Rattus norvegicus: one gene and its partners. The protein of the gene in region 3 interacts with the protein of the main gene of each other region in a pairwise test. Links are inferred from orthologs where the notes say so. Each region holds a gene or a part of one and is shown on either strand. Other genes may lie near its edges.

What was found.
Region 1: the proteins of Lnx1 (region 3) and Zbtb43 interact in binary tests that used the Homo sapiens proteins (3 or more experiments, as listed by UniProt). The link is inferred for Rattus norvegicus from reciprocal best matches to the Homo sapiens genes LNX1 and ZBTB43.
Region 2: the proteins of Lnx1 (region 3) and Ldoc1 interact in a two-hybrid assay, tested with the Homo sapiens proteins (2 studies listed by BioGRID and IntAct). The link is inferred for Rattus norvegicus from reciprocal best matches to the Homo sapiens genes LNX1 and LDOC1.

The regions. Positions count from the first base shown.
Region 1 is NC_086021.1:37,156,057-37,166,236, reverse strand, and holds the start of Zbtb43 (zinc finger and BTB domain-containing protein 43), read left to right. Parts: upstream 1-4,751; 5' UTR 4,752-4,851; intron 4,852-8,510; 5' UTR 8,511-8,571; intron 8,572-10,180. UniProt on the Homo sapiens protein: May be involved in transcriptional regulation.
Region 2 is NC_086039.1:144,997,608-145,007,787, reverse strand, and holds the start of Ldoc1 (protein LDOC1 precursor), read right to left. Parts: upstream 6,022-10,180; 5' UTR 5,946-6,021; intron 1-5,945. UniProt on the Homo sapiens protein: May have an important role in the development and/or progression of some cancers.
Region 3 is NC_086032.1:33,955,204-33,965,283, reverse strand, and holds part of Lnx1 (E3 ubiquitin-protein ligase LNX), read right to left. Parts: intron 8,794-10,080; coding exon 8,659-8,793; intron 5,003-8,658; coding exon 4,834-5,002; intron 3,408-4,833; coding exon 3,182-3,407; intron 1-3,181.

The DNA of each region.
Region 1 (10,180 bases), on a different chromosome or scaffold from region 3:
CAGAGAGGAACAAAGGCTTGAGCGTGCATAGCTTTATGTGGACATCAAAACCCCCACACCTGCCATGTTTAACACAAAAATGTCTGCTCCTTGTGCATTACCTTGTCACTGCTCTGACTTGATCATAGGCAGCTTGGAGTGCGTGTGCGTGTGCGTGTGCGTGTGTGTGTGTGTGTGTGTGTGTGTGTGTGTGTGTGTGCAGTCGCAGAGGATCAATCTCCAAAGCGGCAGAGATGACAAGATTGCAGACTGCAGTGAGCAGTGGCAATAGTCAATGGCTGGTAGCTTTAGTCCTCTATCCTGATAGTCATGTGGGTTTTGGCTACATGATTGAATCCCAGCTTTCCCGAAGACAATGTGACCTGCTCAATGCCCCTTAGTGCATTCTTTCCCCAGTGACACCCATCTTGTTCCATGCATCTCGGAACTCCCAACATATGGCTGAACACAAACTCTAACCTCAGGTCCTGGAAACAGAGGTTGAGTGGCGGTCTCCCCACAGTCTGTCATCTGTTCACTACTGTGGCTATGAATTATCCCCAATGGCACATAACACGAAGACATGGACACTAACTCAATTACAGATGGTTGTGAGCCACCATGTGGTTGCTGGGATTTGAACTCAGGACCTCTGGAAGAGCAGTCAGTGCTCTTAACCGCTGAGCCAGCTCTCCAGCCCACAAGAGAAAATTTAAAGTGCTAGACCCTCTGACTGGTCAGGAGAGCAGCTCCTGGGCTGGTGCTATCCCTTTAGGCTGGGTCTGCCTGAATGAATTCATTTGGAGTAAATCTGGCTCACCTGCGAGGAAGATCTAAGCTCAAATGGTCGTAGCTTAAGATATAAAGATGGAAATGGAAGTGGATATCGATATAGATGCATATGTGTATATATACATATATGTGTATATGTACATGTACATACATATATGCGTACATATATACACATACATATATATCTATACATACACACACATTCTCACACACACACCACACACATACACACATAGTAACTCAATTAGTAGTGTGCTTGCCTGACATGCATGAAGCCCTGTGTTCAACCCTCAGCATTGCATGGACTGGACATAATGATTCATGTCCCTGATGCCAGCACTCAAGACACAGAGGCAAGCAGTTCAAGGTCATTTTCCTCTCTGTGGCAAGTTCAAAGCAAGTCTGAAGACCTTGTCCACAAATGAACACACTTCTGTTGCCATCCACCACTTTGGGGTTAACAACAGCTATCTGATAGACTTCCTTTTTTTGTCTTTGTGGTCCTTTCCTGCTGAAACTACTCCAGGGTGTTTCCTGCTGATCAGACACATTGAGGCTCTCAGCTGAACAGCATAGATGTCCTGAAGGTTAATATACTGTCAGAGCATACTCCAAACCACCTTAGAAGATGCTCATCCTTTAAAATCACATTAATATTTCCTTTGAATCTTTTAGTGTTTCTATTTGGAAAGGCTCACCAGTTGGAACTACATTTGGCTACAAGCAAATAAGGGACATATTGGATAAGGAGAGGAACCTATCGATTTAAATGGCCTTTAAAGATGAAACTAATTCAAGGGGCTGGAGACACCGCTCAATGGTTAAAACATTTCCTGATCTTTCAAAGGACCCAGGGTCAGTTCCCAGAATCCAGGGTTGGGTGACTCACAAGTGCCTGTAACTGCAGCTCTAGGGGGATCCAATACCCTCTTCTGGCATCCACAAACACCTATGCACAATTTTAATATTGTCAGGTATATCTCAAAAGTAAATATTTGAAGATAATAACTTCAAAATTCTCCCAAACCCCACATGTGATCATTGTAAGCCAATGAGATAAGGACCTCCTTTGGGAAGCCCACACCCATGCTCTTAGTTATGTCTTCCTTTCTTCTCAAGTGCCTCCCTGTCTCTTAAAGTCTACCTTTAAATTACTTCTTAATAAACTACTCTAGGGCCAGTGAGATGAACCAACAAGTAAAGCCACCAAACCCGATGACCTAAGTTCAATCCCCGAGACCCTCGTGGAAGAAGGGGACAACCAGCTCTCATAAATTGTCCTCTGACCCCACCCCCAATCCCCGACCCAGGCACTCGTATGACCTCCCGAAATGCCTCCGGGAACTTCCCCAGGGACTATTAAATCAAACAAATAGTTTGTTCAGGGAGCAGGTGTGGGTTCTTGAACTTGAGGAAGCTAGACTCATCTCTGCTGTCTCTGATGACTCAGACTTGACCCAACCCATCTCGGTCATCTCATGATTAGCTGGTGGTACTGGATCAGGTATAGACTGACCAACTTCTTGCCACAAGCAGGCAAAGAAAATGAACCCATAAACATCACTGTGGGAGGATCGGGAGAAAGTTTTTTTTTTTTTTTTAAGATTTATTTATTTTATATAAGTACATTGTAGCTGTCTTCAGACACACCAGAAGAGGGCATCAGATCCCATTACAGATGGTTGTGAGCCACAATGTGGTTGCTGGGATTCGAACTCAGGACCTCTGGAAGAGCAGCTGAGTGCTCTTAACCACTGAGCCATCTCTCCAGCCCCCGAGAAAGTATTTTTAAGTGCATCGAGTTGAATACGCTCCTTAAATGATTCACCACTTTTTTCAAGTTTCTTCTGGACTCTGAGCACACAAGCTGGGAACTTCAAGCATCATTAGACACGCATGATACGACAAGGTCTAAGGCAGGCAGAGCAAGAAGTCTGGAGACAGAGTGTAGCTTTCAGATGATGCCAAGCAGCTGCCCTGAGTCTTAACCACCTTACTACCGGTTGTGCTGTGGTTTTATTTTGCTTTGCTTTTTTGAGATAAGATCTCACTGCACAGTTCAAGTTGACCCAGAATGACCTATGTAGCCCAAGACAGCTTCATAACTTATCTCTTCATCCCCAATTTTTTTTAAAGATTTATTTATTTTATGTTTATGAGTGTTCTATCAGCTTGTATGCCTGCATGCCAGAAGAGGACATCACATCCCAGTATGGATGATTGTGAGCCACCACATGGGTTCTGGGAAATGAACTCAGGACCTCTGGAAGAGCAGCCAGTTCTCTTAACCTCTAGGCCATCTCTCCAGCCCCAGCCCCAAGATTTTTTTATATGCATGTATATTTGTATGTGTTCGTGCGGATGTGGATATACAGACCTATGGGTGGTTATCCGGGTCAAAGGGATAACCTCCAGTGTCATAATCAGTAATGCCACCATCAGTAATGCCATCTATTCCTTTTTTTTTTTTTCTTTTTTTCGGAGCTGGGGACCGAACCCAGGGCCTTGCGGTTGCTAGGCAAGTGCTCTACCACTGAGCTAAATCCCCAACCCCAGCCATCTACTCCTTTTAGGCAGGCTCCCTGTTGTTCTGATCCTTGCCTCCGAAGCTCTGGCATTAAAATCCTGCCGCCACACCTGCTATTTTTTTTTTAAAGATTTATTTATTTTGTATATGAGTACACTGTAGCTGTCTTCTGACACACCGGAAGAGGGCATCAGATTCCATTACAGATGGTTGTGAGCCACCATGTGGTTGCTGGGATTTGAACTCAGGACCTCTGGAAGAGCAGTCAGTGCTTTTTTTTTTTTTTTTTTTTTTTGGTTCTTTTTTTTCGGAGCTGGGGACCGAACCCAGGGCCTTGCGCTTCCTAGGCAAGCGCTCTACCACTGAGCTAAATCCCCAGCCCCAGTCAGTGCTCTTAACCACTGAGCCATCTCTCCAGCCCCCCACACCTGCTATTTTTATATAGTTCTGGGGACTGAATTCAAGTCCTCAAGTTTGCAATTCTTTGCAAAAGATTTACCAACTGAGCCATTTCCTTAAGCCCCACATTTTTCCCCCTAGCAAGATGTTCTGCACCTGTTCCCAGTTCTGTGTTTCAGTATTTGTTTTCTTCTGTTTTGTTTCCCCGAACTTTTTTTATTTTAATTTTTTTTAAATGTGTATGCGTGTTTTGCCTGCAAACGGTTTTGGGTATTGTTTGTCTGCCTGGTGTCAGTGGAGGCCGGAAGAGGGAGACAAATACCCTGGAACTGGAGTTAAGGAGGCTGTGTACCACCATTTGGGTGCTTGAAATTGAGCCCAGGTCCTCTGGAAGAGAAATGAGTGATTTTAACCGCTGAGCCATTTCTCCAGCCGTCCCAGAATTTCTTTGAATAATTCTCTTGGAGAGTCACAGCCTTCTCTCTGAATACGTCTGAGTTCCAGAGCCCTACTGGCGCGCACACCTAGGAAACTGTCTAACCTAAAGCAAATGTATGTTTGGTCCAGTCGGGGTATCCACCCTACACCAACAATGGGGACACATCCTTGCAATCCTGATACTCAGTAGGTACATGCACGAGTGGATGTCAGTCCAACTCGAGCTACATAGTGAGTTCAAAGCCATCTTGGAATTTTATTACTTTTTCTTTGGGGGACTGGGGAGGAGTGAGCGTTCGTTTACCATAGTTCGCTTTTGAGGTTAGCATATAACTTGTAAGAGTTAGTCTTCCACCACGGGCTCCAGAGATAGTACCCAGGCCTGGCGACGAGCACCTTTATACGCTGAACTATCGATTAGGTTCAAAGAGCTACGAACTACGAACTAGCTTCGAAACCATTGCGCAGGCGCCAGCCCCTAGCGTGCTCTCCTGAAGACCCGCCCAGAAAGGACTCCTGGAGCATACGCACACCACAGCGTCGCTGACACGCCTCCGGAAGCACTGGCAGTTTCGGGGGCGGGATCAGAAAGCGTATCCGAGGGGCGAGAGGCTCGGGCGGAAGTTGTCCCCGCGGTGGCGGCGGAGAATAAGGCCTTCGTACGGCAACAGGGACGCTCCGGTAGGCTGGAGCTGGGAGCGCGGAGCCGTCTGAAGGTACGGCGGTGTGGGGAGGCTGGGCGCTCGCGCGCGAGGTCGCGGTCGGGGTCACGAGTGTCCGCGACACGGGACACTGCGTTCCCTCCGACGGCGGTGATGCGGGACGGCGCGAGTGATTCCGAAGCCCCGGCTCCCCGGTTTGGAGTCCTGCGGCCTCCCGGGCGACCTCCTGGCCAAGGTCACCCGGCGGCAGGTGCACCGCAGGCTCGAGAGCTTGGAGAATCCGCCCCCGGGGCGACCTCGGGGTCGAGCCACCTACGCGCGAACCGACGCCGTGAAGGAGAACCTCGCTGCTCTGAGTTTCGCCTCTTTGTCAGACCGTTGTCACCTGTTTTTGTCCTCACCTGGCCTCTTGTCAGCTGGAGTTTACACTTTGCATCTCTGGTGCTGACAGTCTTTGGACTTTGTCTTTACCTCTGTCTCCTCTTTTCCTCAGTGTGTTTTGACCCTGCTACTGTCCCCTCGGGCCGCCCTTTGGTTCAGGGCCCGAATGTCACACCGACTTCTTGGCCATTTGTCTGGGTTTTTTTCTCTCCCTCCCAACTGGGTTTGTTTAGGCAGGGCGGGCCTTGCCTGGACCTCTGAGACATGGAAGGTGACTCATGACCCTGTGAAACTCCCCTGCCCAGGCAACATTACCAGTAGTCTGACTACAGTCTGGCCTCAGTTCTGACAAGTGTCACCAAACCTAGCAAAGTGTCACGAGCTACTGTCCTAAGTGAAGTCCCATCTCAGGATCTAGGCAGTTCAGTGTATCTTGAACTTCTCTTCCCAGAGGTTTGCACTGGTCTCCACAACTCTTTGCTCTTTCCAGGAACCCCAGGCTGCCTTCAGGACTGTTTGGAAGTGCCCTGCTTAACCAGGCCAGCATCTACATACAGGCTTAGGGAGGGCCAGACTTCCACCTGCCTTTGAGACCCTTAACTTAGCACAGTAGCAGAGTCTCTAGGAGCAGCTTAGTGAAGAACTTAAAAAACGTAATAGAAATTGATTCCTTGCTTGTTTCCAAAGTACTGTCTGAGAGGAAGACACAGGGATGAACACCGAAACTTTTGGAATGGAGCGTCTGGGACAGACAGGACACGAAACATAATATATCAAGTGCCAGGCCGCCATTCAGTAGATACAGTTTTAAGAGATGGTCAGGACATTCTAGAAATGGTTTGTGCACATCAGTGTGAACGATGTAGTGTCAACACAAGTAACCGTGGTTTGGAACACTTAATTGAATCCCTTTTCGTGATGCAAGTCAAGCCCCTCACAGCAGCAGGCTCAGCCGAGGCTTAGGAGATTGGGGCCCTGAGTGACTTTAATCTTGTGGCAGCACTTTTCCACCTCCCTCCCTCCTGGCCCCTTTAGAGTCACTGCAGAGATCTACTGAGGGGGAATTTGAGAAACACAGTACCTTTGACAGGCAAAGAACTTGTAAAGCTGGAAAAAAATACTCCTTTATTGGCGTAGAAGGTGGTCTGTTCTTTTTTCATAGGCTAGGCCTTTTGGGGTTTGTTTGTTTGTTTGTTTTTTCTGATTTACCTACCTTTAAGGTCTTTTTTTTTTTTTTTGGTTGGCTGGCTGGCTGGTTGGTTGGTTGGTTGGTTTGGTTTTAGTCTTTGCTTTTTTCGAAACAGAGTTTCTCTGTGTAGCCTCGGCTGTCCTGAAACTCACTCTGTAGACCAGGCTGGTCTTGAACTCAGAGATCCGCCTCCCAGGTGGTGAGAATAAAGACCCGTGCCACCATGCCTGGCCTTGTTTTGTTTTGGTTTTTTTGAGACAAGATCTCTATAGGGACAGGCTGGCCTCAAACTCTGAGATACTCCTGCCTCAACCTCCTGAGTGCTGGGGATTAAAGACTTTTGCCAACGGGTTTGGCTTCAAACTTTCTAATATGCCTAACAGTTGACTTACTGTCGTATTTCATTGACTCTTAGATGCCACCAAGTGTTTTCTGTTTCACCAAGAAAAGAAACCCTGCCTGGAGCAGAATTCATTCCCAGCACTTGTGCTTCTTCGTCCTAATTAAAACACTTTGGCTTAGAGTTTTAAAGAATGAAATCAGTGCACACTCTATGGGTCTTAGAAGAGGAGAAACATAAATAAAGAGCCATCAGCTAGCACCTCAGGAGATCCCGGCTTTGGGAGTCCTTTGAGTACTGTCTGCTTCAGAACTGTATCTATAGTTCTTCCAAGTGGAGTCATCCCTCGTGTCATCAGAAACTGTTTGCCAGGAGTGCTTTAGTCATTACCCAGTAGCCACAGCTGTTAAAACTGCCACATACATCCTGTCTGGTGGAGCCCAGGTAGCTCCCTGAACTGAGGAGATGAGTGCACCTGCTGGCCGCGCTGCTTAGCCAACCCTCAGAGTGGGTCTCTAAACCCTCACAGACCACATGCTGCTGCCTCAGTTTTCTTTCCCAGCAGAAGTCCCTTCCAGGGGTGTGACACTGTCATTAACAGTGAACTGAGGACAATAAGTGTCCTTAGACAGCTGCTTTGAAGGCAATGGAGCCTGACCAGAACGCTCTGACTCAAGGTTTCAGGGAAAGGGCAACAAATGGATGGAACGGCAGGAAAATCCGTGGACGTGGAGGCCAGAGTTGCGTGGGGAGAAAGCAGTAACAGGGTGGTGGGGTCCTGGGAAGCAACCTACGTCAGGGAGCTTTCTCCGGGTTTCCACACCATTCTGAAAGGTTTGGAGATCGAGGGGGACCACTGAGGGTAACATTCTAGAAGAGTGATGCCCTGCACGGGTAATGTAGACACTAGTGCGGCAGGGGCTCAGGAGGGCATGAGAACCGTGGCAGAGGGTCCCTTAGTGGTGTAGAGGGAAAAGAGATTGACAAGTTTCTCTTTGGTTCTGCAGTTGCTTGTTGCTGGGGGGTAATGGATGAGTAGTCACTTGTGACTAAGACCTTTAGGTAATCAATATGTATCTTTCCTGGCCAGCCATTCCTGGGTTTGACTAGGCAGGAAGGCAAGAACCTATAGAAACATCACTTTAGTTCAAGAGTCATCACACAGCTCAGCCAAGATGGAGGAGTGGTACAAAATGGCCTGGCCCTGCTCAACACTGCTGAGTGTGACAGCCTGGGTTTGATCCCCTGCACCCATGTGGGGGCAGGAGAGGACAGGTTGTCTTCTGACAATAGGAAAAGAAGCTAAAGTGTAATAAAACTTTATTTAAAAATACCGCAGAAGCCAAGAGTTTCTAGAATGAAAGTTCTTAATCAAAAATTTTGCTTTGATGGAGTCCTGCCGTGTAGGGTTAGTTCTGGGATTACTTTGACTGGCTAGCAGCAGCCATAATCACTGTCTGCCCCTCATACTGTTCATCAGGGAAGCACATTACACACAAGTCCCGTTTTTCTTATAAGATTTAACTTTATTTGCCTATGTGAGTATGTGCCTGCATGCCATGTGTATTGGGTACCTACAGAGGCCAGAAGGAGTTGGGTCCCCTGAAGCTGGAGTTATGAGTCACCTGACATGGGTCCTGGGAACTGAACTCAGATCCTCTGAAAGAGCGGCAAGAACTCTTTAACCAGTGAGCTATCTCAAACCCAGCACCTTAAGTTTTTGGGGTGATTTTTCCTTTCAGAAATGAGTGTGATTTAATTTACAGCAAAACTGAGAAGTGCATTCTCTCTGTATCCATTCAGACTGCTCTTCGATGGCCATGACATAAGGAACATTATCCTGGGAACACAACTTTGCTCTCGGGTAAGCCACACAGTTACTAATAATGTATTTTTTAGGACTATGTTGAAATAATTTTCTATCACCAGAACAATGTAATTTTTCAAGTTTGTTTTTCAATGTTTGTTTATATGTGGGGATGTTTGCCTTCATGTGTACCTGTACAACATGTGTGTGCCTGGTGCTCACAGAGGCCAGAAATGGGCATCAGATCCCCTAGGATTGGAAATGGTTGAGAGTTGTCATGTAGGTGCTGGGAATCAAACCTGGGTCCTTTGAAAGAGCAGCCAACGCTCATAGCCATTCTCTAACCCCTCGCCAAGATTTTAATGGGCTAGATCAGATGATTCCTCCGTAGAGGAAATGCTGTGCATTTTAATTTAAGGCTTCTCAACTATGCTACCTTACATTAACAAGGCCCTTAATTTCAGAGGGAAGTTTCCGCCAAATGATTTTTTGTTTTTTTTACTTAAAAAAGTATTCATTAGAATTGGAGTTGGACGTCTGAGGTGCCCCCATCCCCCACCCCCACCTGCGTGCTTCCGCTTGCTCTCTGAACCCAGTGGGATGTTGAGGCTCTAGGGTCCGGGTTTACAGGCTGTTTTGTGGATGCAAGGCATTTGACTAACAAGAGGAATTTTGGTAGGTACAGGGTGTTGGTATTTTCTACGTTTGTGCCAGACTTTAAATTTCCTAAAGTAACATTTACCGCGCTTGCTGTGCCTTCTACAGTGAGCATGCAAATTACCATATGCTCCGATTACAGCCATCCCTGGAGGGCTCCAGTACTGGAGCTGGTAGGCCTGCCTCCCTGTTTCTCCGCTGTCTGCTCTTTTAGGGTGTTTATTCCCTGTTGAAGTGGTGTCTGAGATCTGATACAAGGTTTTCTTAGCTGAAGAATAAATAGTGTCTACTGCTCAGCTCGTCAGCATGGAGGGTGACAGAGGCAGTCTGTTTCAAGAGAGACTTCAATACAAGGAAGGCCCCTTGCCTTCTGCATTATTTTGATTTTATTTTTAATTTTTTTTTTTTTTGGTTCTTTTTTTCGGAGCTGGGGACCGAACCCAGGGCCTTGCGCTTCCTAGGTAAGCGCTCTACCACTGAGCTAAATCCCCAGCCCCTTATTTTTAATTTTTATTACACTTTTATTTACTTTGTTATGTGCATGGACCTGTGCCCACCACATGTGGAAGTCAGGGGACAACATGGGAAAGCCAGCTCTCCATCCACCATGTGTGTCCTGGGGATTGAACTCAGGCTTGGTAGCAGACCCCATTACTCACTAAGCCCTATCTATCACCAGCTCTGCTCTTCGCTTTAAAAAGCCGTGTAGTAGCAGCTGATGCTGGTGGTGCACATCTCTAATGCCAGCACTTGGGAGGCAGGGGCAAGCAGATCTCCGAGTTCCGGGCCAGCCTGATTAACAGAGTGAGTTCCAGGACAGCCAGGGATACACAGAGAAACCCTGGGGGGCCGGGGGGGGGTAGTTAGGGAAGGCATATAGCTTCTATGAGTGATGAATGAGTTGGAATTGGCATAGTTAGAAGAATCATTGCTCTTGGAGTTTTAAAATTATGTGAAAGGTGACATAAAATGGCTTGTTCATTGAAATCTGATGTTGACGAGTACCCAA
Region 2 (10,180 bases), on a different chromosome or scaffold from region 3:
GAATACAGGATAGCTTGATGATGGATGATAGATGGAAGATAGATTATAGGATAGCGAGAGGATATAGGATATATAATAGACAGGTTATAGACTTCTAGCTGTCCTTTGTCTATTTCCTATCTATCCATCTACCATCTCTCTCTCTCACTCTCTCTCTCTCTCTCTCCATCCATCCATCCATCCGTCACATTTTTCTGTATATCCATAACTATCTTTTATTAATCAATCTTCTATGTTCTAGCTATACTCTATCTTTGATCTATCATCAATTTTCTAACTCTCCTGTGTTTACCATCTCTCTTTCATCTATCTTCTATCCATGTTGTGTATCTTCCATCTATCAACAGTCTATCTTCTAACCATTCTATCTATCTATCTATCTATCTATCTATCTATCTATCTATCTCTATATCTATTTATCTATATCCATCTACCTACATAGATATAGATATTACATCTACCATATATCTTGTAGTTCAATTGTGTTTATCTCCCATCTAGATACCCCATGTCTTTAAATGATGCTTTAGCAATCTTTCATATATCCTCTATCTATATATTGTCCACATTCCATTTATTATTTTCAAATTATCTACCATATATCCTCTAACCATTCTATGTCTATCTTCTCTCTGTCTGTTACCTGTTCTGTAGATACACTATGTCTATTCTTCATGATCTTTTCTCTACCTGTTATGCTTCTAACTTCCAAGTGCCAATTATTCTAAAGTTCTCCTCTGTTTACTTTATCTCTGTTATCTTTCATCCATCAGTCAGGTGATCTCTAGATATCTTGTGTCTATCCTGATGCTTGATATTGTCTATCATCTAACAATCTAGTGGCTGCTTTCTAGCCAACTTCAAAAATGTTTAAGTATTTTTAAATTTCTTATTCTTCAAGTTATTTTAAAATTACTTCCACAACTCTGCTACTTCTAACTACAGAGTGATATATTACATCCACCTACTGGGTATTCAAGGTCAATCCAGTATACCTTATAAGTATGCAAAACTATATCAGATGCTAAATGCCTGAAGCCTGAGGTTTTTTGGGTTCTTATCCCTAATGATTGTACTGAATTTCATATTTGGGTCTGGATTTTATACGAATAAATTATTCTCTAAGTACATAATTGAAGAACATTAATATTCAGTCTTTGACACAGACTAGAATCAAAGCCAAATTCATTTATGAACAAGAATTAGTTAAACAGAAATGTCACTTAACAATCCAAAAGCTGTAGTTGACCAACATGCATGTAACTCTGCCATTTATTTAGGACTAATTACTAAAAAAGTAGCTATGTTCTTTGATACCATGTTTTAGGAAATTCAGTTGATTGTTTTATTAGGTTTACAGAAGGTTTTAGCTTTATGAGATTCCTGTGTAAGTTGTTGGCCTCAATTCTTGTGCAAACAGAATCCTGTTCACAAAATTCTTTCCTACAATTATGTCATGTACAATACTGCCTAGGTTTCTTTCAGCAGTTTCAGCATTTTAGACTTTACATTAAGTTATTTGATCTATGTGGAGTTGATTTATGTACAAGGTGACATATATAGGTCTAATTTATTTCTTCTGTGTAATGACAACCAGTTTTTCCAGCACCATTTGTTAAAAGTGCTGTATTTTCTCCAATTGAACTTACTGGCATCTTTTCAAATATCAGAGGAGTGTGGTTATGTACATGTACTCTTTTGGGGTCTTTGATTTTGTTACATATGTGTGTGTGTGTGTGTGTGTGTGTGTGTGTGTGTGTGTGTGTGTGTGTAACACATGGAGTGATAATGCTCTCCTAAAGAGCCATCCACTATCAAAAGAAAAAAAAAAACTCTGCAAGACATGAAATTTCCTTTCAAGTTGTTGGTAAGGAGAGTCTGAAAAACTCCCCAAAATAATATAAGCTACTGCTGTGGCCCTTGGTTTCTTTCTAGAACATGAAATTAAGACACCATATGTTTTGGACACAGGACCTGGAAGAATTAAAGTGCATCAGACCTGAAAGCTTTATATCTGGTTATTAACTTTCCTAATACCAAAAGATTGCAATCAACCAATAGTCTTATTCAGTCACACAGTCTTTAAAATCACTACAATGAGAAGACAGAGGAAATAATCCCTATGGTGAAATGGTGGCTCTTTGTTCCATGATAAATAACAGCTAATTGAACTCAAGGCATGTACTTTGCCTGGTACTGCAAACCTAGCCAACTACATATGTATCCTAAAGGAAAGCAAACTACTTCTACTTTCCCAAAGCAGTAGAATTTCTAACACTGTAAATACTTATCCTTATACTCATAGAGTAGTTTAGCTCTAATCTTTCTCAAAGAAGCTTCTTTTTACAACATATTGACACCATTACAGGAAGCTACACTGAGGGAAATGCAGAGTACCGTAACCATGGGATATTTAGTTCCAGTTGATAAAAATACAATAAAATCCCTACGTCTAAAGCCCAGAATATAAGGGAAAGAGGACAGAAAGATTATAAAAGTCATAGAACCAAGAGGTTTCAGTAGGAGTATGTCTTCTAGATATGATAGGGAAGCTATACCTATGATGACTTAAAAATATGGCTATTTACACAAGACTTGTAAAAAATAACATCACCTGTTGGCATGCCATTATGTTTGTATGTGTTTAACAATAATAAGTTTTTAAAGAAGCCATAAAATGATATAGACTGGCAAGAGAACATGAGGGAGGTTATAAAGAAGCTAATGGGGTAGAATTTTGTAATTGTGTTTTAATAAAGAGCAAATCAAATTAAATTAAACAAATATATCAAAGAATTGTTCATCAAATTTCAAAAGTAATACAGTGAAGAAAGCATAACCATATTAGAAAGTGTTTGAGGAACTATTGGCTATAAATGTGGAAAATATGAATGTCAGTAATTCTAGTGTATACATAAAATTGACACAAAACTATTCATATACCTAACTATAAAAGTTAAAAGTATAAATTCCTTAAATAAACATTGTAGAGCATCTTGTGATCTCAGGTTAAATATTTGTTGTTTGAAAAGCATATCAAAACACAATTCTTGAAAACCATATATTTGACTTGAAATTTAAGGCTTGTATTCTTGAAAACATAATTAAAATATAATTATATGATAGGCTATAAAATATGTTATGAAACTCAGATTTTAAAATTACATATTTTTTTTACTGGCAGGCTATTCAAAGTACATGAAAAACTTTAAACATTGAATAATGAGAAAATAGAATTTAACATGAAAAAATATGTGAACCAACATTTCCAAAGAGAAAATGCACCAATAGAAATCACTGGTGAAGATGCAGAATATCATGAAGTTCTAGGAAAAAAGAGGGTGAAACTTCGAGATACAGCCCTGCCAGATAAACAAGAAAATAGTAAGGAAAATGTGAAAATGTCACGTGCCAGTAAGGGCACACAGAATTGGCATTAACACACTGATGCTGGAATGGAAAATTATACAAACTGAAAATGGCAGGAAAAAAAAATACCATCATACTGTATATGTCCATTTTCTTTTAAAGTACTTTTGTTAGTTATTTAAGTTCATACAAGTTGAGCATATTCACCACTGTCTCTTCTAAAACCATCCAGATTCATGCCCTTTGTCCTGCCCACCGAACTTTGTGGGGTTTTGGTTTGGTTTTGTGTTTGGGGTTTTGTGTTTTGTTTTTAACTCATCCAGTCTGCTTTGGGTTATCTTTATATTCTTGGGTATAGGGTCATCCATTAGACTTTAAGCCACACCCTTAAGCAAAACTGATGCTTCCTTTTTTAGAAGCCATCAACTGACAATCGTCTTCACATAGATGTGAAATATACCCACCTCTTCTCCCCGTGGTGAAATTCTGTTGGGCTTGAACTTACACGGGTTGTATACATTCAGTGACTGTGGGTTTCATGTGAAACCACATAGTTGTTCCCAGAAAGTACTGTTTCTTTGTCCTTATCCACATTGACAAGCTCTAACATTCTTTTTCACTCCTTCTTCTGCAATAATCCCTGACTTGGGTGAAGAGGTATGATTCACTTATCATATTTGGGCTGAGAATTCTGTAGTTTATTACTCTAGTGCACCGGAGCTGCTTTTAGTTCTTTATGTTAGCACCATTTACTTCAAAAAGAAGCTACTCCGATGACGGTGATGAGGGTTGAACTACCCACAAATCTACTAGCATAGTGCTAAGTTTTATACTAACACTGTGTCCATTTAGCAGAATAATAATAGCAAATTCTTCCCTAGGGACTATGAATTACCTGATCAAAAGTTCTTGCCCTCAATAATTGTGCTAGTTATGTGTTTCATCTTGTGGAACAGGCCTTAAATGAAAAAAAATAGTTTACTACATTTAAAATATCCATGCCACCATTGTACAACTGAGTTAGTTACTGATTATTTTTCCATTCTGTTAACGTACATAGCACCTTTCAGCAACATGGAATTTATCCAGTAAGAATGAAGCTATCAGATGGATACCAGTTTGACTTCTTTCTGTTCTATGACTCAAGTATGCGGTGTCATCAGAAATAAGGTCTTACTGTCAAGTTCTGGAGGATAACCAAGAGCAATATCAATAGCATTTAATAGTTGGAGGTCTATGGGACTTCACTGGCTAACAGCTCCAATATATGTGGGAATAGGTTTCCATATGACTTTGTACATAGATCTTTTGTTATTGTTCTATGTATATATTCTTCTAACCAGTTTACCCATCTCCCACCTTATTCATTCCTCCTATTTCACTATTCCCTTTTCTCCCTTTAAATGATTGCATCATTTAATTGGTCCCTTAAAAGCATCCTATGCCCCACCATATGTCCTTACTAGTTTCCTGACTTCCATGGGCATTTCAAAATAAATACACAAATCTGAAGATGCAAAACTAGCATCTGCAACAAGTAAAAGCAATCAACATTTGTCCTTTGGGGAGGAGGGTGTCTGTTTTACATCATTCAGAATGATTGTTTTCAAATACATGCATTTACCTGAAAAATTCAACTTTAGTATTCAATGGGTGAATGGTATTGCATTGTATAAATGTATTATATTTTTACCATCCATTCATTGGTTGATGGACATCTGGGAGTTTCCATTTCTGGTTATCATAAATACAGAAGCATTGAACATGAATGAGACAGTGTCTCTTTAGTAAGATATAGGGTTCTTTTGGTATATGCCCAAGCAGTAGATTAATTTCCAGTGTTTTGAGGAACTCTACACTAATTCCACAGTGAACACACTGATGAATAACTTCAACAAGTAGTGAACAAGTGCTTCCTTTCCCCAAATCCCTACAAGTATTTGTCATCACTTGCTATTTGTATCTTAGTCATTTTGACTGAAGTAAGAGGAAATTTGAAAGTAGTTTTACTTTGCATTTCCCTAATGGCTAAGGATGTTGACCATTTAACAAAATGTCTCCGTCATATTCATTTCATCTTTTGAGAGCTCTTTGTTTAATTTTACGCCCCATTTTTTACTTACATTGTTTGTTTTCTTGATGTGTAGTTCCTTGTTTACTCTAAATATTAACGTGTCAGATATATATGTTGTTGAAAATTATAAAAATAAAATGCTGTCTTATACCCTCTCTAGGTCCGGCACCACAGTACCCCCAAGATATCTGATAGATATCCCAAACTCAGTCAGCAAAGCGTCTCACCTGCTCTGCTGCATCCCATATCACACTGCCGAAGGCCTCTCTGAGCCTGGAAGAAATCTCTCTACCTATCTAGGTCCCAAGGCAGGTTTCCATGCCAGAAACACACATCCCAACTCCATGTCGACCCAGACAAGCCGCCCCACACTTCCTTACATTTAAATCTACACATGAAAGATGATACAACACAATAATTTTTGATCCAATTGATAAAATACAATTGCCCACCTAAACATACAAAGCCCATTACACATCCATCCCTTAAGAACATATATAACCTGCTGAGGTACAGCGTGGAATCTAAACACAGGCTTCCAAATTGTTCTGCCGCGGCTTCGCTCCTCTCTCCTCCCCTCTTCCGTTTCTGTCTCCTCCTCTTCCTTCAAAACTTTCTCCCGCCCATCCTTCCTTTTCGTCCAATGACAGGCCTCATTCTATCTTGTACCTGCCTCACCAGTGACATCATCCCACATACATAATTGTTAAAGTTTTTCCCATTCTAAAGGCTGCCTCGTTACTTAAGTGATAGTGTAGTGTCTTTTGTTTTACAGAAGCGGTCTAGTTCATGAGTTACCATGTATTAATTGGATTTAATGTATTAACTACTGGGGAAAATGCATTCCTGTGTCAGTAAATTCAAGTATAATCCAAATATTTTCCTCTACCAGATTCAGACTATCAGGTTTTATGCTGAGGACCTTTATCCACTTGTAGCTCAGTTTCAAGCAGATTAACAGATAAAGATATAGTTTACACTCTCTATGAATAGCAAGAGAAACTAGAAGAGATAATATCAGCTCCGTATCCTACAACAAAAAACAATAAATGGAATTAGAACCGAAGGGCAACGTGATTATTAGAGAAATGAAAATACTCTAAAGTTGAGGTTAACTTCTCATTGTATAATTTTGTAAATTTGTTGGAAATGTTAACTATATGTTTACTGTAGGTAAATATTTTGGCTAACAGCACAATAAAATTGTTTTACTATCAAGCTATGCAATCAAATTATTGTTCATTTCTTTTTTTTTTATTAACTTGAGTATTTCTTATATACATTTCGAGTGTTATTCCCTTTCCCGGTTTCCGGGCAAACATCCCCCTCCCCCCTCCCCTTCCTTATGGGTGTTCCCCTCCCAACCCTCCCCCCATTGCCGCCCTCCCCCCATAGACTAGTTCACTGGGGGTTCAGTCTTAGCAGGACCCAGGGCTTCCCCTTCTACTGGTGCTCTTACTAGGATATTCATTGCTACCTATGGGGTCAGAGTCCAGGGTCAGTCCATGTATAGTCTTTAGGTAGTGGCTTAGTCCCTGGAAGCTCTGGTTGCTTGGCATTGTTGTACTTTTGGGGTCTCGAGCCTCTTCAAGCTCTTCCAGTTCTTTCTCTGATTCCTTCAACAGGGGACCTATTCTCAGTTCAGTGGTTTGCTGCTGGCATTTGCCTCTATATTTGCTGTATTCTGGCTGTGTCTCTCAGGAGCGATCTACATCCGGCTCCTGTCGGTCTGCACTTCTTTGCTTCATCCATCTTGTCTAATTGGGTGGCTGTATATGTATGGGCCACATGTGGGGCAGGCTCTGAATGGGTGTTGCTTCAGTCTCTGTTTTAATCTTTGCCTCCCCCTTCCCTGCCAAGGGTATTCTTTTTCCTCATTTAAAGAAGGAGTGAAGCATTCACATTTTGATCATCCGTCTTGAGTTTCGTTTGTTCTAGGGATCTAGGGTAATTCAAGCATTTGGGCTAATAGCCACTTATCAATGAGTGCATACCATGAATGTCTTTCTGTGACTGGGTTAGCTCACTCAGGATGATATTTTCCAGTTCCAACCATTTGCCTACGAATTTCATGAACTCGTTGTTTTTGATAGCTGAGTAATATTCCATTGTGTAGATGTACCACATTTTCTGTATCCATTCCTCTGTTGAAGGGCATCTGGGTTCTTTCCATTTTCTGGCTATTATAAATAAGGCTGCGATGAACATAGTGGAGCACGTGTCTCTTTTATATGTTGAGGCATCTTTTGGGTATATGCCCAAGAGAGGTATAGCTGGATCCTCAGGCAGTTCAATGTCCAATTTTCTGAGGAAACTCCAGACTGATTTCCAGAATGGTTTTACCAGTCTGCAATCCCACCAACAATGGAGGAGTGTTCCTCTTTCTCCACATCCTCGCCAGCATCTGCTGTCACCTGAGTTTTTGATCTTAGCCAATCGCACTGGTGTGAGGTGAAATCTCAGGGTTGTTTTGATTTGCATTTCCCTTATGACTAAAGATGTTGAACATTTCTTTAGGTGTTTCTCAGCCATTCGGCATTCCTCAGCTGTGAATTCTTTGTTTAGCTCTGAACCCCATTTTTTAATAGGGTTATTTGTTTCCCTGCAGTCTAACTTCTTGAGTTCTTTGTATATTTTGGATATAAGGCCTCTATCTGTTGTAGGATTGGTAAAGATCTTTTCCCAATCTGTTGGTTGCCGTTTTGTCCTAACCACAGTGTCCTTTGCCTTACAGAAGCTTTGCAGTTTTATGAGATCCCATTTGTCGATTCTTGATCTTAGAGCATAAGCCATTGGTGTTTTGTTCAGGAAATTTTTTCCAGTGCCCATGTGTTCCAGATGCTTCCCTAGTTTTTCTTCTATTAGTTTGAGTGTGTCTGGTTTGATGTGGAGGTCCTTGATCCACTTGGACTTAAGCTTTGTACAGGGTGATAAGCATGGATCGATCTGCATTCTTCTACATGTTGCCCTCCAGTTGAACCAGCACCATTTGCTGAAAATGCTATCTTTTTTCCATTGGATGGTTTTGGCTCCTTTGTCAAAAATCAAGTGACCATAGGTGTGTGGGTTCATTTCTGGGTCTTCAATTCTATTCCATTGGTCTATCTGTCTGTCTCTGTACCAATACCATGCAGTTTTTATCACTATTGCTCTGTAATACTGCTTGAGTTCAGGGATAGTGATTCCCCCTGAAGTCCTTTTATTGTTGAGGATAGCTTTAGCTATCCTGGGTTTTTTGTTATTCCAGATGAATTTGCAAATTGTTCTGTCTAACTCTTTGAAGAATTGGATTGGTATTTTGATGGGGATTGCATTGAATCTGTAGATTGCTTTTGGTAAAATGGCCATTTTTACTATATTAATCCTGCCAATCCATGAGCATGGGAGATCTTTCCATCTTCTGAGGTCTTCTTCAATTTCTTTCCTCAGTGTCTTGAAGTTCTTATTGTACAGATCTTTTACTTGCTTGGTTAAAGTCACACCGAGGTACTTTATATTATTTGGGTCTATTATGAAGGGTGTCATTTCCCTAATTTCTTTCTCGGCTTGTTTCTCTTTTGTATAGAGGAAGGCAACTGATTTATTTGAGTTAATTTTATACCCAGCCACTTTGCTGAAGTTGTTTATCAGCTTTAGTAGTTCTCTGGTGGAACTTTTGGGATCACTTAAATATACTATCATGTCATCTGCAAATAGTGATATTTTGACCTCTTCTTTTCCGATCTGTATCCCTTTGATCTCCTTTTGTTGTCTGATTGCTCTGGCTAGAACTTCAAGAACTATATTGAATAAGTAGGGAGAGAGTGGGCAGCCTTGTCTAGTCCCTGATTTTAGTGGGATTGCTTCAAGTTTCTCTCCATTTAGTTTAATGTTAGCAACTGGTTTGCTGTATATGGCTTTTACTATGTTTAGGTATGGGCCTTGAATTCCTATTCTTTCCAGGACTTTTATCATGAAGGGGTGTTGAATTTTGTCAAATGCTTTCTCAGCATCTAATGAAATGATCATGTGGTTCTGTTCTTTCAGTTTGTTTATATAATGGATCACGTTGATGGTTTTCCGTATATTAAACCATCCCTGCATGCCTGGGATGAAGCCTACTTGATCATGGTGGATGATTGTTTTGATGTGCTCTTGAATTCGGTTTGCCAGAATTTTATTGAGTATTTTTGCGTCGATATTCATAAGGGAAATTGGTCTGAAGTTCTCTTTCTTTGTTGTGTCTTTGTGTGGTTTAGGTATAAGAGTAATTGTGGCTTTGTAGAAGGAATTCGGTAGGGCTCCATCTGTTTCAATTTTGTGGAATAGTTTGGATAATATTGGTATGAGGTCTTCTATGAAGGTTTGATAGAATTCTGCACTAAACCCGTCTGGACCTGGGCTCTTTTTGGTTGGGAGACCTTTAATGACTGCTTCTATTTCCTTAGGAGTTATGGGGTTGTTTAACTGGTTTATCTGTTCCTGATTTAACTTCGATACCTGGTATCTGTCTAGGAAATTGTCCATTTCCTGCAGATTTTCAAATTTTGTTGAATATAGGTTTTTATAGTAAGATCTGATGATTTTTTGAATTTCTTCCGAATCTGTAGTTATGTCTCCCTTTTCATTTCTGATTTTGTTAATTTGGACACACTCTCTGTGTCCTCTCGTTAGTCTGGCTAAGGGTTTATCTATCTTGTTGATTTTCTCAAAGAACCAACTTTTGGTTCTGTTGATTCTTTCTATGGTCCTTTTTGT
Region 3 (10,080 bases):
GAAAGGTAAAATGTATTTGCAAATTAGACATTTCTGGGCATGTATCGTAAAGGTTTAATTGTAGTCTAAATCTAACATAGAATTAATTATGCCAAGGTGTGGTTTGGAATCTCTTACTCTAGCACTTCCCTTCTGTGTCTGGAGACATGTAGGATAATGCTGACGTGTAGGTAAGGGCTTTGAGAACTCAAGATGACAGCTGTGAGAGGATGCCCACCCCCACCTCACCCCAGTCCCCACCCCCACCCCATAGAAACTGATGCTGTACCCCTGAGATGAGGCTAGGACAGGACTGAGACCTGAACAGGGTCAGTGTCGTCATATTCAGTTTCGTCTGGCAGAATGAAGTAGATATGGTTTCCTTTGTGTTAAATTCACTATCAAATCAACCAGGAAACCTGGAAGCAGAGGCCATCATCATAAGCAAAATTGAGTTACCACGTGTGAGGGAGAGCTGGCAGAGGGCCAAGAACAACAGGAAATTCAGCAGAAAGAACCCTGTAGCCCACGCTAACCACGCCAGAAGTGGGCAGGCAGGTTTCCTCAGGTTCAGCTTAGCAGAGAAGAAAGATGTGCAAAGCAGTGAGAACCCAAGCAGATACCCACATGAGAAAGAGGAGCCTAAGTATGGCAGGGCATCATGAGTGGCCTGCTAGGCTGACCTCAGATGGTTATGGAGAACTCAGACACCCTATACCTGGAATATGGCTCTGACCCTTTCTCTCACCATCCTTCAGGAGACAGCTGCCCAGGAGGAAAAAAAAGTTCCACTAAAAGATATTTGAACCAACCGAGCTAATAATGCTACATAAGAGAGCAGGTGGGGAGAGGTAACGGGAAAGAGATAAGGAAAGCCACTCCCTAGAAAACTGTTACACAGTGAAATGCCTCTATGGGCTATGAAATCGATAATTAATCACACCACTGTGATTTAAAATACCATGCAGCAATTGCTCTGAGTGAAGAGCAAGAACCCAGTGTGAATGAGATTTCAAAGATGATGCTAGGCATGGTCATGCATGCCTATAGTCCTCATACGTGGAAGGCAGAGACAAGAGCATGGCTGTAATTTTGATGGCAGCCTGGGCTGTGTACCAAGGCTTTGTCTCACAAGGAGTGGAGGGTAGAGGGACGAAGGAAGGAAAGAAGAAAATCAAAGACAACACGCTGAGGAAAGCCTCTCAAATGAAAGTAGTCACAAAGGAGCAGCCATTCAACGGAGTGACAGGGAGTGGGGCAGGTGAGGAGCACAAGCCAAGCAGGCAAACAGAACCAAGAAAGTCGAGAAAACAACCAAGAGCCGATATCCAGGGCACACATCTGGGGTCCCCAGAGAGCTGAAAGAACTGGACAGCTCTTCTCAACACTAAGGACAGGTCACGTGTGGAGGGAAGGGCATGAGACAGCTTTGTCTTCACACAGCTTGACCCTGATCATCACAGGTGCCACCCCTAAAGAACCAAATGTGACACAATAGTGTGATATCCACCTAACCTGCCACCTGCCATCACAGATGTGGCTCGTTTAACCCATCCGTGCCAGCAGTGGACACAGGTGGTGCACTGACTATCGTGACACCCCAAGTCAATTTTTGGGTTTAATTTTCAAGCTTTGGATCATAAGAGCTCACAGGTCACTGCTGTGTTTGAGTGAATACACTGATACCTAGGCTGGGGCCTCGAACTACAGCCAAGCCCGGAAGCTTTTGTTCACGGATGGCCTATGGCTGTCTTTATGCTACAGCAGCAGAGTGAGCAGTTGCCAAGGCCCTGTGCCCTATAAGCCCAAGCCCAAGCATTTTGCAGAAACAATCAACTTCTGACATAGACAGACTTTCCCTGGACACAAACTCAGGACCTGGGTAATGCTGGTTACTTCTGAGTGGACTAAATAAAGGCCCAGGAAGGAGAGCTACTTCCCGCTCCCTCTGCTCTGGTACCTCTGACCAGAAAGGCTCCAAGGGTCTGAAGTCCCTGTCATCTCATGTCCTTTCACTCTTCCCGACAAGTGCAGAGAATTGCTGCAAACGCCAGGTGGCCTGCAGGGGAAGAGAGGAGCCATGGGCCCAATGCTCTATGCCTCACGCAAAGGAACACTGAAGAGCCTAACAAGGGAGCTTTCAAACAAAAGCTATAAACAGACTTGGGATTATAGTTCCAAAATTTCATTTAAAGGAAGTTTACTCAATATAATAGTCTCCTGTTTGGCTATAACAGCTATAATTTGCCTCAATACTCAGTGTTCTAAGGACTTTTAAAAGACCTACTTATGCAGAAAGTAATGTTAGGAACTTGCGGAAACCCCAAAGGGAATCCAGGCCAGCTTGTAGCTACTAAATAAATAAGAACCATTTCTACCTTCAAGAAAATGTTTTAAAACCAAGTAAATACCTTGCTTCCATTATTTCACCTGTTCTGAGGGACCTAACACTGGCGACACCCATTTTGAACGTTTAAGCTGCGTACTTGCAGACAACAATCTAAAGGCCAGCAGATCTTCGCTCTGTTCCAAGGAAGCAAACGTTAAATTTACCCGTCCTTTAGTCAATTCATGTACAGAGCCATTTTGTGGAGATCTCTCCAAATCCTCTGAATCCATCGTGTCAGATAAGTTTATAGCTCATTGCAAGGCTCCCATTATACCTCAGAAAAATGGCAACCTAGTTGCCCGCTAAAGAACTTTCCAGACGAGTCACTGAAAAGAGATGTTCTGAGAAACATCACCAGCTAGCAGACTCTTAACTCTCTGAAGCCACGGTGTTCCGCTGTGCTGCTGTGTGTCTAGTCAGAGCTTCTAGAAGCTTCAGAGCAGGGCCACAGCTGGCCTGCAGCTCCCACTCATACCCGTGCGAAGAAGAAGCTTGGCGTGAGCAGATGCAATCAGTTCATGAGTGTGGAAACACAGGCTGAACTTCTGTCAGCCAGCTGACCCCCCCTGCTCCATGAACCATCTGATAAGTACAAACACTTCAAGAATACCTAGAAGTTTCTCTGTCTAGACTTTCACCTCCACCCTGAGATTTCTATATGGATTTTCATTTGCCCGAAGAAGACAGTTATTTCAGACAGCCCCACAGAGAAGACTGGGTCTTAGCAAGATGCTAGTGCCCATGAATCAGCCCAAGACAGTGAAAGAGTGGCTTAAGAAATAGAATCCGTAGGGGTGTTGAAGTGGGACTCACTGTGGTAATTCCAGCCACATGACCCAGGATGGGGACCAGTCACCAGGCGGGGTCACGTTGTGGTTGGAGTCCAGGGCTGCTGGGCTGCAGTCTTCCTGGGTCTCCTGTTCCTTGACTTCCAAGGCTTTGAGTACCACTGAGGAGGGTGTGCTCTTCAGTATGGCAACGGCCTCTGTCCGGCTGACCTCTGTGAGCTCAATCCCATTCACATTCAATAAAATGTCACCTGAGGCCAGAGAAGCAAAAGCAACCTCACTGAGTGCAAATGGGATTCTGCTCGGTGTGACGGGACAGAGGCTGACCCGGGCGCATGGGCAGGGTGAGGAGAGGTGCATATCTTCAGCTCACAGAAACCCGAAGCTGGGTCCCATTTAGCAGATGGCAGAGCATGTGGGACTGGCTTGTTGGGAGTCTCTAAGGATGGCCTAACATCCTTAAATAGCTTCCTTTACTACTTAACCCCAGGCAATCTGCAGTTTCACTCTTTTAGTTTCCATTTTCTTTAGCACACAATGAGAGCACTTGACAAAAGGCTCCAGTACCTGTACAGTCTAGCATGTAGGACACTACCAACAAACAGGGACCGGAGCAGGAGTTTAGTGTCTGGCACAAGAGCCCAGAGCTTTCACAGAGGTGGGGTACAGTCACCATTTCTAGTCAATGCATCTCTGTGCATGGCAATAGCTAAGCACGACTCCTATGGGTGACGTGCTACAAGGAATCTCACTAAGTCACTTCTTGTCTGAGGTCATTCTTCACCCCGGTGCTCGCTGAGCTGCAGGAGAAATTAAGATGGATCTCCCTGCCCTTGCTCCCTAATCTTTCAATTGAATCTCCGGTTTTTTGTTTTGCTTCTTATACAACTTTTTTTTCATACAGAATAATTGAAGACAGGAGGAAAATAACAAGGGATGTCCTCAAATGCTTGCAGACTTAAAAAAAAAAAAGAGAGAGCAACACCTTTTGATTGTCTGCTTAATTCCTGTACTATGCCACACTCAAGGGAACATATTTGAGAAACTTTTTTCTGTCGAATCTGAGCCCTTAAGAAGCACAATTGTTCCTCTCCGTAAGTGACCTCTTCATGTGCTTGAACAGCGTTATTAAGAACACATACCTGCGGAGGTAAACTGGATACCTTCCTGTATGTAGAGGAGCCCAGAACATGAGTGGAAAGATCCATTTCTCACCAATGGGCAAAGTGATATTTAATTATACCATTGAATCGAGATCTATCAACACATTCATCCCATTTAGCCCACAAAACTGTACAATTCGTAAATCAGTTTCACTATTGGAGCATTCCGTAGAATCCATAGGGGCGTTAGATTGCATGGATCTAAATTGTGCTTTAGAATTGTGCAATTGTGTGCAACTTGCTCACAGGTGTAGCGGCTGTCAATTCAGCCAAGAAAGAAAGTCTAGAGGCGCTACCTTTCCTAGCAAAGCTGCCTCCTCCCCTCTCCCGTGCACTAAGAGAGGCAAGCCTAGACTACAGCATGCTCACCCTGCCCAAAGGAGCGTAGCAATCATGGCCAGCTCCCTCTCACATGCTCTCCTTGACTCTGGGAGAGCAGTTAGCGAACCCAGCAGGCTGCTAACTCCGCCCAGGCTCTGCCACCCCATGCCTTTATTCTCTTTGATTTTTGTACCTGTTTTTATTCTTCCGTCTCTGCTTATGACTCCTCCGGGCTCAACACTGATGACATAGATGGGCAAGTCCCATTCTCTGTGTGATGCTCCCCCTCCAACGGTCATGCCGAGAGATTCGTTGGGGTCTTTTTGGACACTTACAACCTTCTCATGACAAGTGGCTGCAGGCTGAAGGCACAGACACAAAGAACATGGTGCATGCATTCACCAGGCCCATTTACTCACACATATCCGCGCACTCGCATCAAAAGAGTTATTAGCATCACGAATTCCAGCACCGCAGATACAGCATCGCAGATTCTAAGGGTTGACTCTGAGAGGTTTGCATTGCAGAACGGAATACTAAACACAGAAAGGCCACAGCCTGGGGACCGTGGTAGAAATCTGGATCGTATACATTTGGCTGCATCCCGAATCTCTCAAGGAAGCCACCCACTTCTGATTACAGTAGGCCAACTTCTCAGAACACTCACTGTCCCTGTCAGTACATCTTTCATATTTAAAAATCATATTTATTAGCGGAATGTGTGGAAGCTGAGAAGCACATGCTACAGCATGCATGTGACATGTAATTGTCAGAGGACAATTTACAAAAGCTGATTCTTTCACTCCACCGTGTGGGTCCCGGGGATCAAACACACTCTGGTAAGGCTTGACAGCCAAATACCTTTACCTACTGAGCAATTCTGCCAGCCCAGCAAGCTTCTCTAGGTTTACATTTTTTTCTGACGTAATGGACCTCATATAAACGCCAGCCATATAAAATGGTGGCTAATGTGTAATCCAGAGTTCGGGGATCCACAGAGAGAGAAGGCTGGTTAAGACTAGTCAAATACGCAAGCTTGGCTTAGGCGGGAAGCAATCTCAGTAAAGATGTAGAGAGCAACCAAGAAAGATACCCGGTGTCATGCTCTGGCATCTACATGCACACGCTCACACATGCGCATGCTGTCACGTATTTGTCAATGCCCATATGCACGTGCACGCAAACCATACAGAGGCACACATTGGGCCTATACGTTTTCCCCATTTTTGGTACTTTCCAAACCGCTGAACCAAGTGGCCGAGCACCAGGACTGCGCTTGGCCTGTGTCCCTGATGGCCGTTTGCCTTCCCCACCAGTGGGAGAGAGAACGTGAGAGAGAGACAGATGGTAGTGATGGAGAAACTCGAATCTCTGAGTTAATTCCTCATGCTGACTTGCTGGGTTTGGGGCAGGAGGAGGAACCTTTGGCGGACAAAACTCTTTCTGTCTGACCTGCTCACTCTACTTTAAAAAGCTGACTTATGGGTTGGGGATTTAGCTCAGTGGTAGAGCGCTTGCCTAGGAAGCGCAAGGCCCTGGGTTCGGTCCCCAGCTCCGAAAAAAAAAGAACCAAAAAAAAAAAAAAAGCTGACTTATGGTGAAATAGTTCATATTGATTAAACCATATGGGCACTTAAGTCTATGGAGCATTTATGTTTTAGAATGTTTACCCGGGATTTGGAAGAATAAGACATTCTAAACGTCTAAAAAGCATCAGGACCCTGTAGCTTGATAATCAGTGCCAGGGTTAGTAACTGTCTCTGTGACATGGAGCTGGTCAGATTCCCCTTCTTCTTTCATGATGGTGAACACAGGCCTAAAGATGGCGCCTGTTGGTACCTAACTCTTCACCGGGGTAGAAGCTTTCCTGTCCCACAAACTATGGCTTGCTTTCTTTGGTACTTCTTGGGAGCACTTAAACTCCTATTTTCAAACGCCACATTGTTTTCCTAAATCAGTTTAAAACGTAATCATCAACAGCCAGGTAGATCCCTTTATGGGTGTGGCAGGGGTGTGTAAGGGGCAGGTAGAAGTATGATTGGAAAGAACTTCGTTCCCGGTGGGCCAGCATGTTTCCTGGAATTCAGACACATGACACAAGGTTGTAACAAAGATCTCATTAGACCATCCTGGCTTCCCCATGGCTCATGGTAGGCAGGTAGAAGGAGTTACAGAGTCTCATTGGGGTTTCTGAGATAGCTTCATGGTTTCCAGCACTGACTGCTCTTCCAAAGGTCTTGAGTTCAATTCCCAGCAACCACATGGTGGCTCACAACCATCTGTAATGATATGTGATGCCCTCTTCTAGTGTGTGTGAAGACAGACACAGTACTCATATACATAAAATATATAGCCTTTCTGTGGTATAGGTCTCATTTCTATGTTTAATGAATGAAAATATAACACATTCTACTTAATACAGCTGGTTAGATACAAGCTTCAGGCAAGATTTTTAAAAAATCTCACATATATTTTGACATCAATGAATACTATCAGATAACTTTAAAACACTAACAGTATTTATTATTGGGTAGAAAGTATCAGGGAGTCCTTGTGCATAAAACTTTTTAGCAGGGTACACTTAGCTTATCTAGATTGCTTCCCATACAAAAACATGGAACTCGAGGATTTATCTAGATGCCATTGGCTGGAGATTTTGAATGAAGGTGATCACAGGCTCCTGATTATAAAGCAGAGATGTTTTCTGCAATTATTACTCAAAAAGACCCTCAACCTTTGGCCCGATATGGAAAGAAAAATATGTTCATTCATTCCATCATCTCCGTTTTGGAAACAGGCTACATATAAAGGCGTTAGGTTGTATCCAAACATCGATTTATATCTTTATGGGCATGGCTGTTTTGCCTACTACATGTATGTACACCACCAGGTGTGTGCAGTGCCCTTAGAGACAGAAGAGAGCATCAGATTCCCCGGAAGTAGCGTCATAGAGAGTTGTGAGCTGCTGTGTGGGTGCTGGGAACAACTGGGGGGGTCCTTTGCAAGAGGAACAAGTGGTCAAAACGATTGAACCCCGTTCCAGCCCTGCTTATCTTTAGTAACAAGTACCACGATGACACAAGCTACCAGAAAGAGGAAGCTGTCCATCTTCGTGACAGAGCCAAGGTCAGAGGACTTGATCTGGACTGGACAATGTGTTGATAAGACACCATCAAAATGAACTGCATACTTGCATCTCATAGAAGCCACAGACAAGAACGTACTGGACTGCATCTCCTGGGGCCACTGAGATGGCTCAGTGGGCAAAAGAGCTTGTCACCAAGCCTGCTGATCTTAGTTTAAGCCCTGGGACCAACATGGTGGGAGGGAGGAAGAGAACCAATTGCCACGAGTTATCCTCTGACCTCTACACATACACCATAGCACATGTGTGTCTACGTGTACATGTGTGTATACCTCGCCCTACAAAATAAATGAATAATTTAATATTTTTTTTAATTTCTGGATTTAAATGATGTAAGATAAGACATGTGCTCCTGCCTTGTCTGAGGCCCCGCTCCCCTTAATGCTCCATGCTCTTCAAGTATGACCAGTGTCTTCCTTGTCTTTCGTACAAACACAAACATTAAAAATAGCAGGGGGCGGGGAATAGCAAGGGAATCAGAGTTTCCAGGCAGGTTGGGAAACTCAAAAACCACGAAATCAAGCAAACTGCTTGCCGCCTTTGAAAGCGAATGGAAAACAGTCCTTATGAGGAAGGATTCTTGGTCAAAAGTAGGACATGCATTTGGCTTACACTAGAAAGCAGGTCCCTTAGAAGGCTTGCAAGCTGGGATCTAACACTCCCCCAGCACCTTCCTCCTCACTCCTGCTTGGACGGGAGACACCTGTCACCTTCCAAGTATGAAGACAGGACTTTGGCCTTCTAGTTTCAGGAGTAGTGTTTCTTGAAACGACAAAGTCCAGAGACAGCCCTTAGACACATTAGAGTATACGGCTTTCCCAAGAAATAGCCCCTCACAGGAAGGAGCTGCCGACACGCCTGGCTGGCCCTCACCTTAGAAGATGTGCTCCTCTCCCCTGAGACAGGAGACTGCTGGCCGTTGCTGATGCAGCCAGCTTCTTGAAAGATGTCTGGGCTGGGCTGTCGAACCTGGCGGGACACGACGAGGTGAACACGTCTTTCACTGGCCTGGACAAGAGGACATTCAATTAGCCATGTGCACATGGCCCTACCAGGAGAGCACTTTCGTTTTGATTTTTATTGAATGGAATTAAAGTTTCTAAATTTCTTTTCTTATGAAATGCTGGAGACTCAGCCCCAGGGCTTTTGTGTATGCATCGTCTACCCCCGACCCTCTAGATTTTTTCTTTTTTTTAAAATTGTGGTCCAAGCTGAAAGGACATACTTTTAAAAGATTTGTTTTTAATTATGCATATGTGTGCATGTATGTGGGTATGCGCATGGGAATGCAGGTGTCCTCAGAGGCCAGCAGGGGGGATTGGATTTCCCTGAAGCTGGTGCACAGGTAGTTGTGAGCCACAGGGTGTGGGGGCTGGGAACTGAACTCAGGTCCTCTGCAAAAACAGTGTGCACGCTTAGTCACTGAACCATCACTCCAGGCCAGAAAACTCTAGATTTTTTTATGTCAGTGTCCAGCTTGCACTTCAGCAGAAAGGCCTGACTCAGGCAAGTCTTTGAAGACACACCATTCGATCTTGTTAATGTATGTTTAATGACAAGGTCAGCTGCAGGCTGAAAGGCTTTCTGAATAGAGCAAGGTGCATGGTGTGAAGCAGTCCACACCACGTGGCAGTTCCAGATAAAAGGGCAGCGGTGAAGAAAGAGAAGCAAGGTAAGAGGCAGCGACTGTGACACTGGGGAAACGGAAATGCCGTGACTACCGCTGACTCAGATCCTTCTGCACACAGGTACTGGGCAGAAGATTTGGAGGAACAAAGGTATCGCTTACTGCAAGGGTTCCTAACACGTGGTAAATCGCTGATTAGCTTTCTGCCATGGGTCACTTTCCTGTATCTCTGACTGCAAGTGTCAACCTAGACGTGCCAACCCCCAAGGCATCAGATTTGCGGGGAGGATAGGCAAGACCCTAGGGCTGCAGATCTCAAAGAAACAACGTTGATTCCCCAAACTGAAATGGCACATGGATCCTCCATTACTTCAGTGAGAAATGCAACAAGAGGCATGGTTAGAAAGGCACCTGGGGGAAGATGAAGAAATGTAAGGTCTGGTAGTTCCTCCCCTCCTTCTAGTTCTTGACCACTCACCACAGCAGAGACAGACACTGATACGCACACACTTGCCTTCATGCGTAGCGTTAAAGGGCCTTGGAGAAATCGGGTCACAACAGAGGGCCCGTACTGTGTATCTCCATTAGCTTAGACAGTGGGCACTGAGATGTTTGCCTTTTGCTGGCTATGGTTTGAATGTATGTGTTCCTCATGTGTGGAAATCCTA